3 linked regions of the Rattus norvegicus genome follow. The protein of the gene in region 2 purifies or fractionates together with the protein of the main gene of each other region. This does not show direct contact. Links are inferred from orthologs where the notes say so. Each region holds a gene or a part of one and is shown on either strand. Other genes may lie near its edges.

What was found.
Region 1: the proteins of Mex3c (region 2) and Mycbp2 purify together in Homo sapiens (affinity purification with mass spectrometry; 3 studies listed by BioGRID and IntAct, with this or other methods). This does not show direct contact. The link is inferred for Rattus norvegicus from reciprocal best matches to the Homo sapiens genes MEX3C and MYCBP2.
Region 3: the proteins of Mex3c (region 2) and Ap2a1 purify together in Homo sapiens (affinity purification with mass spectrometry; 3 studies listed by BioGRID, with this or other methods). This does not show direct contact. The link is inferred for Rattus norvegicus from reciprocal best matches to the Homo sapiens genes MEX3C and AP2A1.

Annotation. Positions count from the first base shown.
Region 1 is NC_086033.1:86,394,615-86,398,268, reverse strand, and holds part of Mycbp2 (E3 ubiquitin-protein ligase MYCBP2), read left to right. Parts: coding exon 1-1,001; intron 1,002-2,093; coding exon 2,094-2,263; intron 2,264-2,814; coding exon 2,815-3,059; intron 3,060-3,654. UniProt on the Homo sapiens protein: Atypical E3 ubiquitin-protein ligase which specifically mediates ubiquitination of threonine and serine residues on target proteins, instead of ubiquitinating lysine residues.
Region 2 is NC_086036.1:69,459,768-69,462,168, forward strand, and holds part of Mex3c (RNA-binding E3 ubiquitin-protein ligase MEX3C), read left to right. Parts: intron 1-1,079; coding exon 1,080-2,305; 3' UTR 2,306-2,401. UniProt on the Homo sapiens protein: E3 ubiquitin ligase responsible for the post-transcriptional regulation of common HLA-A allotypes. Binds to the 3' UTR of HLA-A2 mRNA, and regulates its levels by promoting mRNA decay.
Region 3 is NC_086019.1:104,547,702-104,551,943, forward strand, and holds the start of Ap2a1 (AP-2 complex subunit alpha-1), read right to left. Parts: upstream 2,955-4,242; 5' UTR 2,842-2,954; coding exon 2,775-2,841; intron 1-2,774.

The sequences.
Region 1 (3,654 bases), on a different chromosome or scaffold from region 2:
TCACAGTGAGGTAGTAGAAGTCTGTACTTCAAGTACTTTAAAGACAAATGGTGTCACAGACAGCACCTGTGATGACAGCAATGATTTTAAGAGTGTGGATGAAGGTTCAAATAAAGTGCACTTCAGCATAGGAAAAGCACCACTGAAAGATGAACAGGAAATGAGAGCATCACCCAAAATAAGTCGGAAATGTGCTAATAGACACACCAGGCCCAAAAAAGAAAAGTCTAACTTTCTTTTCAAAGGAGATGGAGCCAAATCTTTAGAGCCAGCCAAGCAAGCCATGTCCCCGTCCGTGGCTGAGTGTGCCCGAGCTGTCTTTGCCTCTTTTCTGTGGCATGAAGGCATAGTACATGATGCAATGGCCTGCTCTTCCTTCCTGAAGTTTAATCCTGAACTTTCCAAAGAACATGCTCCCATAAGAAGTAGTTTGAATAGCCAGCCACCCACAGAGGAAAAGGAAATCAAGTTAAAAAATAGACATTCGTTGGAAATATCATCTGCCCTAAATATGTTCAACATTTCACCTCACGGACCAGACATATCCAAGATGGGAAGTATCAACAAAAATAAGGTCCTGTCTATGCTTAAGGAGCCACCTCTACATGAGAAGTGTGAAGACGGAAAATCGGAAGCCACTTTTGAAATGTCCATGCATCACTCAGTGAAGTCTAGGTCTCCGCTCCCCTTAACATTACAACACTTAGTGGCCTTCTGGGAGGACATCTCTTTGGCTACAATCAAAGCTGCTTCCCAGAATATGATTTTTCCAAGTCCAGGTTCCTGTGCAGTCCTTAAAAAGAAAGAATGTGAGAAAGAGAATAAAAAAACGAAAAAGGAAAAAAAGAAAAAAGAAAAGACAGAAATTCGGCCAAGGGGCAATTTGTTTGGTGAAATGGCCCAGCTGGCAGTAGGAGGGCCAGAGAAAGATACCATCTGTGAGCTATGTGGGGAATCCCACCCATACCCAGTGACCTATCACATGAGACAAGCTCACCCAGGTAAGCGGTTTTGTGGTATATGTATATGTATGCTTTGGTCCTGATAAGCTAGATCAGTCACCTTCTTGGGAACTGCCCTCCGAATTATATCAAAGTATGGGGAAACAGTTGCCCAAATAAGTAGAATCCTACATCATTGACCACCGTGAATATTTCTTTAAAGAGATGGAGAAATTCTAGTAGAATAGTTTCTTTAAAGAGATGGAGAAATTCTAGTAATACTCTGATCAAGAAATATGTTTTTTCCTTGGAATGTGGCAAATTTTAAAAATGTTTTAAGTATTTTATGTATTTCCCAAAAGATGACACGAAGACCTTACACAGTATAAGTAATGGCATGTCTAAACAAGAGGGACAGCTTTGTATTAGAGCCTCTAATTCAGGGCCCTGCTCAGAGGTTACCAGTTAAATGGAGTGTACAGAACAGGATGGGGAATTTTCCATGTAAGTGATAATCAGTTGTTTAATCAGAGAACTGCATGTTTGGTAAATATTTTTATATATTTATATTCTAAAGCTTACTTCATATATGATTGTTTTCTTCTTTTTTCACTTTGATGTTAGAAACATTTGATTTCTGAAACATGCCATCCTTTTATATGTGTCTATTTTACTGACATTCATAAGTAGATCTAAAGATACCCATGCCCTGTTTCTTTAATGTACTCATCTAACAATAGAATATCTCAAGCATTTTGAGCATCCTCTAATTGATAATTTTTTTAAATCAGGCATGCTGTTTTTCTCTAATGTATATACACCTTTTAAACAATTAGGTACTTGCTAGGGTTTTAGTTTGGAAAGATGCACATGTTGCTGTGATAATATCAGTAATGAAGATCAGGGACGGGGCTGGAGAGATGGCTCAGCGGTTAAGAGCACCCGACTGCTCTTCCAGAGGTCCTGAGTTCAATTCCCAGCAACCACATGGTGGCTCACAACCATCTGTAAAGAGATCCGATGCCCTCTTCTGGTGTATCTGAAGACAGCTGCAGTGTACTTCTATATAATAAATGAATAAATCTTAAAAAAAAAAAAAAAGAAGATCAGGGACATTCAAAATGTTAAATATTTGTCTTGTGTTTTTTCAAGGTTGTGGCCGATATGCTGGTGGACAAGGATACAATAGCATTGGGCATTTTTGTGGAGGATGGGCTGGTAACTGTGGTGATGGGGGAATGGGAGGAAGCACTTGGTACCTCGTATGTGATCGCTGTAGAGAAAAATACCTCCGTGAAAAACAGGCTGCTGCAAGGGAAAAGGTATTTTTATTCCACTCAGGCTATATTATTTATGACATGTATGTAACTCATCAGAATACATAATCATACCATTGCATTAGTTCTATGTAATTGATATTAAAGTATAGCAAAAATAAAATACAAATTCAATATTTGTTAAGTCAACTGGTTCTAATCTAATATTTCGGTACAAATGATGTGCTGACAAATGTTTATGATGTGATTCCTAACTGCCTCCCACACCGCACATACATGGACACTTCACTGTTTCTGTTCCATGTACTCTCCTCCTCTTTCTTGTCTTTTCCTTAAAATCCAATCATACCATAGAACTCATAGAAATTGGAGATCATTCCTGCTAATGACAAACCATGTCAGAGACCTCTGCTAAAGCTTCATTCCCCACATGACTCCTCCCATGTTCCCCAGTGGTGGGTTAGTTGTTTTAATAATCAAGAGCACAGTTTTAAAATACTTTTTCATGTCTTTTTTTCTTAGAAACAGCAAAAGTTAAGAATTATCTTTTTAAATATACGCAGGAAACAGTCAGTTCTCTTCTCTTTTTTTGCCAGGTCAAACAATCGAGAAGAAAGCCAATGCAAGTAAAGACGCCCCGTGCCTTGCCCACCATGGAAGCACACCAGGTGATCAAGGCCAATGCCCTCTTCCTGCTGTCCCTGAGCAGTGCGGCCGAGCCCAGCATCTTGTGCTACCACCCTGCAAAGCCATTCCAGTCTCAGCTGCCCATTGTGAAGGAAGGCGTTTCTGAGGCCCTTCCTGTTAAAATGCCCTGTCTCTACTTGCAGACATTAGCTAGGTAATAAGACTTTGTTGTTGATTTTTAATTGCCTTTGGGCTTACAGCTTCTGATGATCGATGGCGTACTGTAAAGAGGTTCAGAACTTGCTCTCCTGCTCATGCTGTCACAGAGAGTGGAGAGTGCAGGACACAAACCTCCAGGGTTTGCCTTCTCCATTGCCCTGATCGATGTGACTGGGAGCAGAGAGCATTTTATGCTTGTGGGTGCTCTATCAGTTTGTTCTGTTACGATTAATACAAAACATGTCATAAAAAGAAAGCTTGCATGTTTTATTCTCTGTTAGTTGACTTGAGTCTGTTGGTCAGAACAGGGTGCCGAAGAGGAAAGGAAAGAAACTGTTGTCTCCTGTACACGTTTTTATTTGTTCTTTTTACCCTTAAACAAAACCAGCAGAGTAAGAAGGGCACCAGAAGGAGTAGTAAACGTCCTGACTGTAGTCAACAGTGGTGGGAAGAAAACCTTGACAGTGTCGTGCTGGGTTTACTCAAAGTGAAATGTGAATAGGATGCTGGAAAAGCTTACACAGTACTTGAGACTTCCTCAGCCCATAACGAAGCACTTCCCAGGAGTCTGCCATTGCCATACACTTGTG
Region 2 (2,401 bases):
CACAGTTGGAGTTGTATATATGTATTGCCTGGGTTCAGGATTGTGTATCTAAAAAGCCTTAGTTTTAGCTTAACCATTAGTGATTTGCTGGACAAGAGAGGAAGAGAGGGCTTAAGAAAAAGGCCTGCCCAAATTGTAGCTACCATCTTCCACGCACCTCCTTTATGTATTTTAGGAAATAATTGTATGGTGTCATGAGAATCAATTTATTCTGGGAATCTGTTGCTTTCTTTGAAAACTGTAACTTCAGAGATTTAAGCCATAGTCTTGTATTTGACAGTTTGGAGACCTAGTTAAAGTTAGGGATTATGAAAAATTAAATGTATCTCCCGTGTTTTATTTTAACTTAGATACAGTTGGAGGTTAAGACCAAAGCTTCTAGTTTGGCTTTAGAGGTGATCCTCTAGCCATTTTCCATGAGTCTTCACTAATTTTTTTTAAATCAATCAAGAACTTAACAATAGGCAAAAATTAATTCTACATTACTTTTTTTAATGCTATACTTTTGTGGTTGTCTCCCTGGATATAACTAAGAGCTGAAGAAAGATAGCCACTAGCCATGAACATATTTGTCAATAGAATTTTACAAAGGAGTCATGTTAACGCAATAAAATAAATCAAGTAAAATTTGTAGAGTATGTGAAAATTAAAATTCCTGGACTATGAAAAGACTATAGATTTCAACATCACATGACCTTATCTGTGTCTCATATGTTAGTATTTTCCTTGCCACCAACATCTTTGCAAAGTAAAAGTTCAACCCTACAGATTTATAGTTTGCCTATAGACTATTTTGTACATCTTTTCAATGTGTGACTGAGAAAGAGAAATAGACTTGAGCTTTGACCTCCCAGGAGAGGTTCCCACTCTCCCAAAAGAGTGAGTGGCAGACAAGCACACCTCCATGACTAGCAGTGTTGCATTGAATTGGGGGGTGTCATCGGTTAATGTTAAATTTTATGATAAAGAAACTATTAAGAACTGTGCACTAAAGAGCTTTAGTTTACAGACTTTTCTTAGTTTGCCTTTATAGATAGTTTTAAAGTAAATACTGATTCTGAAATGTTTTCTTTTAACAGGTTGTAAAATTAAAGCACTGAGAGCCAAGACAAACACGTATATCAAGACACCTGTCCGCGGTGAAGAGCCCATTTTTGTTGTCACTGGACGGAAAGAAGATGTTGCCATGGCCAAGAGAGAAATCCTTTCGGCTGCAGAGCACTTCTCTATGATCCGTGCATCTCGGAACAAAAATGGCCCCGCGCTTGGAGGGTTATCGTGTAGTCCTAATCTGCCCGGTCAAACCACAGTCCAAGTCAGGGTCCCCTATCGTGTGGTAGGGCTAGTGGTTGGACCAAAAGGAGCAACAATTAAGAGAATTCAGCAACAGACCCACACATACATAGTTACTCCGAGCAGAGATAAGGAGCCAGTCTTTGAAGTCACAGGGATGCCGGAAAATGTTGATCGAGCACGAGAAGAAATAGAAATGCATATTGCCATGCGTACAGGGAACTATATAGAGCTCAATGAAGAAAATGATTTCCACTATAACGGTACCGATGTGAGCTTTGAAGGTGGCACTCTAGGCTCTGCGTGGCTCTCTTCCAATCCAGTTCCTCCAAGCCGAGCAAGAATGATGTCCAACTATCGAAATGATAGTTCTAGTTCTCTAGGAAGTGGTTCCACTGATTCCTATTTTGGAAGCAATAGGCTGGCTGACTTTAGTCCAACAAGCCCGTTTAGCACAGGAAACTTTTGGTTTGGAGATACACTACCGTCTGTAGGCTCAGAAGACCTTGCAGTAGACTCTCCTGCCTTTGACTCTTTACCAACATCTGCTCAAACTATCTGGACTCCATTTGAACCAGTTAACCCACTCTCTGGCTTTGGGAGTGATCCTTCTGGTAACATGAAGACTCAGCGTAGAGGAAGTCAGCCATCAACTCCTCGTCTGTCTCCTACCTTTCCTGAGAGCATAGAACACCCACTTGCTCGAAGGGTTAGGAGCGACCCACCTAGTACAGGCAACCATGTTGGCCTTCCAATATACATCCCTGCTTTTTCTAATGGTACCAATAGTTATTCCTCTTCCAATGGTGGTTCCACCTCTAGCTCACCTCCAGAATCAAGAAGAAAGCACGACTGTGTGATTTGCTTTGAGAATGAAGTTATTGCTGCCCTAGTTCCATGTGGCCACAACCTCTTCTGCATGGAATGTGCCAACAAGATCTGTGAAAAGAGAACGCCATCATGTCCAGTTTGCCAGACAGCTGTTACTCAGGCAATCCAAATTCACTCTTAACTATATATATATACATAAATACTATATCTTATATGGACTCATAAAGGCATGGGTATAATGGTATACCCCAGTAAACTTCCTAATGAATTCTTATGA
Region 3 (4,242 bases), on a different chromosome or scaffold from region 2:
TTCTTCAAAACTGACCTAAAACCTGGCCAATCTTTTATCTTGTTTGGATTATTTAAGTGTATGTCTAAATACATGCATGCACATGCCCTTGGAGGCCATAAGAGGGTGTGAAATCCCACAGAGTTATACGCAGTTGTGAACCAACTGACATGGGTACTAAGGTCCAAACATTTTTCACTGCCGAGCCACCTCTCCAGCCCCCTTAGTGTTGGCTTCTGTTGTTTTTTGTTTTATTTTTTGAGCCAAGTCTTGCTATAGAGCCCAGACTGTCCTTATACTCACCATCCTGGCGCTGTGGCCTTCCAAATGCTACGCTGACGACGTGCAACTCCAGCCCCTTGTTTCTGCTCACATCTGAGCAGTCCAGTTCTCACACTTGCCCTAGGTCTGTGCTCCCTTTGCTCTGGTTGCCAGCTGTCATCCCAACTTCTCAAGTCTATTCTCACAGCAGACAGGGCAATCAATCATTCAACAGTTGAGACTTTCTACTTGACACTCGGTCTTGCTTAAGCCAACCTGAAACTCACCAGCCTCCTGTCAGCCCCACCATGCCTGGTTCTAAAGGAATCCAGCGAGCCACTTCCTGCCTCTTCCCAAAAGCATCCTACAGCTCTTAGTTTACCCACAGAAAAGCTACAGTGCCCAGAGTCCCTCAGCCTCCAACTCTCCTCAGTCCTCACTCAAGTCCGATACTGACATGTACTTAGCCCACAGCACCAGCCAATGGCAAACATCCTGTGCTCCCTTCTGTTTACTCTATCTTTCCTAAGGAATGGACACCCCAAACGATGTGGATTTTGTTTTGTTTTGTCTTTGTGGTGCTAGGGATGGAACCCAGGACCTTGGTCACCCCGGGCAGATGCTCTACTACCAAGCTGTGGCCTCAGCCCTTCACAGAGAGATGCGGGGCAGGTGCTTTACTGCTAGACACCAGTCCCAACTCTGAGGCTAGGAATCCTATGTGGTTGTAGGCCTAGTACTGCAAACAGGGGCTGATACATAGGAGGAGCTGAACAGAATTCATCATATAAACGAGCCATCAAACCCCTGTGAGCAACATACTATTAGAAATGGAGTCAGCCAAAGAGGCTAAGTGGGGTACAGAGGGTCATCCCACCAGTAGTTAACAGAGATAAAGCACAGCCATTTTTAATAGGTGCCCATGCTAAGTCTACTGCCCTTCCTGGTTCCACCTCTTCTCACTGGGTCCAAAGCATCTCTCATATAAGGGAGCATACACCTTCCCACTGTCCTTTTGCTGACACCTACTGAGCTCAAGATCCTACCCTGAGCAGCGTGGAGGAGTCGTTCTTTAGATCTTAGCCAATGCCAACAGCAGCTACTAAGGATCTGGCCTAGAGCCTCACCCCACATCAGCCCAGCCACCTCTCATTAGGAAGCCATCAGCAGCCTCTCCTGACATGAATAAACTGAGAAGTGAGGTCCCTCCTTCAAGGTCACACAGTGATAGAGTTCTATACACAAAGCCAGCTCTGGCTGACCACATCCACGCATGGACCCTCTGAAGGCTCCTGGCAGCTGCAGACACCAGCATCTGCTTCCTGGAGCTCACCAGCAGCCAGGGCATCCCAGTCTTATAACCCTTCCTAGAAGGGATCAAGGCCCTCGGATTGCTGGGATAAGCCAAGGAAGGCTTGGGTCCAGGGCTGCCCTGTTCCCTTCCTCAGGGTGCAAAGCTCCCTACGCCCCCAGCTTGCTAGATCTCTTCCCACAGAGTATTCAGATGCCTTGCCTCCTCCTAGGGGTCTGCCTTCATCATAAACACTCACCATGTAATACCTTCCCAGGTCATGCTGGTACCTTGGATTTCCCAAAGACTTTATGTCTATATTTCCTCTTTTTCTTGTATATAGCCTCTTCAATGCCTTCCATGTTTTTGGGTTTGGGGGGTAGAAACAGGGGGGCATTGGCTTTTCCAGCCTGTGTAACCCAGGCTGTCATGGAACTCACTTTGTAGACCACGCTGGCCTTGAACTCAGAGGTCAGCCAGCCTGTGTCTCTGAGTACTGAGATTAAAGGCCTGCACAAGCACACCTGGTATGTTCCATGTCTTTTATGCACTCGTCCATCTAGAGTCTTTTTATACATCACCTCTGGTCTTCTGTCCCCCACCTCTTCATCTCTGGTCCTTCTGCTGTCTCCCCAACCTTATCATCTCTAGTTTCTCTTCCATGCCTTCACCTTATCATCTCTGGGCCCTAGGGTGCTGTTCCCACCTTATCTTCTCTGCTTCTTCTGCAATTCTCCCAATTCTGTCACTGATCCCACTGCTGTCCCCCACCTTATCTTCTCTGTCCCTCTGCTGTCACCCCATTTCTATCTCTGATTCCTCTGGTATCTCCCCACTTCGTCATCTCTGGTTACTCTGATTCCCCCCACTTCCATCTCTAGTCGCTCCGCTGTTCCCCCCCAATTTATCATCTCGAGTTCCTCTGCTGTCCTCCCACTTTACTATCTTTAATCTTCTTGCTGTGCCCCAATCTTATCATCTCTGGTTCCTGGGCTGTTCCCCAACTTCTGGCCCCTGGCCCTAGGTGGTTGCCCGCCTCCCACCTCCTCTGCATCCCTGATTTCCCCCATCTAGGCTCCGGATGGCACTGAATGACCTACCTAACCCGTGGCCCTACTCCCTCCACCTCCTCCCGCCACGTCCGCCCGCGCCACCCTGGTCGTTCTCGGGAGGACACCCCCGCGCTTCCCCGCTCCCTCCGCCCGGTCTCCGCGTGACCCCCAGGCCCCGGTCGTGAGCTCACAGTTCCGGATGTCGGAGATGAACACGGCAAGCCCACGCATGCCATCGCCTTTGGATACAGCCGGCATGATGGCGAAGGGCTCGGCTCCAGGCCTGGCCGAACGGGCGCGGGGCTGGCTGGCAGCACCGGGCGGAAAGGACCCCAGACGGCGCCGAGGAGCCGGCCGGGGGAGGGCGGGCTAGCGGCGGGCTGGCTGCAGGCCGACGCCCCGCCTCAGACCCGCCCCTACGAATTGTCATCCGGGAACGTACTCCACTTGTTAGCTGAAAGCCCTGCCGCTCACAATAGAATGCCCGCCCTCCTCTCTCTTTGATTGGCTGAATAGTAAAGATACATGGCGATGATTGGTGCAGTACTGGGCTATTTCCGTTCGGAGCAGGGAGGCAGGGGGCGTTGCCCTAGAGACAGGCGGAGTTCGATGACACACTCTGGAACCGCCCCCTAAACGGCTGAAACCAACGCTAATTGGATGGACCATCAGCTCCGCGCCAGGAGGGAGGGATGTAAGAGTCTGACGGAGGCGGAACTTCAGGAAAAGAAGACCAATGGGTGAGGAAATCGCACTCCGCAAGGCTCTGGCGACTCGCCGGAAGCGTCATACTTCCGCCCTCGAAGGGGCGGTTGTGGGGGGCGGGCAAAAAGGCGACGACCCGTAGAGAAGGAAGGAGAAAGAAGGCCTGTCAGTCAGCTGAGCTGCGATAGGTGGAGCGATGCCTGCAATTCCCTGCTGCAGAGAGGGGCTGGGTGAGGCAGTAGACTGTGAGGTGTCCACTACGCAGGCGCTTCCCTCTTCACAGTCCGTCTCCACGCCTGCGCCTCAGCTTCAGGAGCATGCCTCTTCCCTCTTCCTTCCCTAAAAACAACACCTGGAAATTTGACTTCTCTAGAAATCTATTATCCATGAGAGGAGGGACTGCCAGTCAAGGCTTGTTACCGTAAACACTAAGGTCAAAAGAGATCGAATGGCTTACCCGAGACTACACAACTCAAAAATGGAAAATTGTGGGATTACGATTTTGGTTTTTTAAACATCCTTCATTATAGGTTGCTCTTCTTTCCTCCCTAAATCCCAGTACCCAAGACAATCTGCATATAATGGTCATAAGATCAAAATTGCTTCTCCATCAGTTCTGGAGAACCACCCAGGAAAAAGCCAGTTAAAGCCACAGCTGAGGACTAGGTCAGTTTGTTTGGCCTCCAACTCCCTAGGTTCTTTGGTTCACTGGTTGCAGGGAAGGCAAAGCCCCCAGACCGCCAATGACCGCCAATGCAACAGCTATTGAGAAATTTGGGGCAAAGGGACTTGGAAGGGTCCATGTCTATTGTCCCCATTAACAAAATGGCACCCCAGACAGTCTTTTCTAATTTGACACCCGCAGAATGGGTCTAGAAGGTGTGACCTGGGACCTAGGAAGGGGGCAACACTGAATCCTTGTCAATAGAAGGCAGTTTTCTGGGATTGGGGATT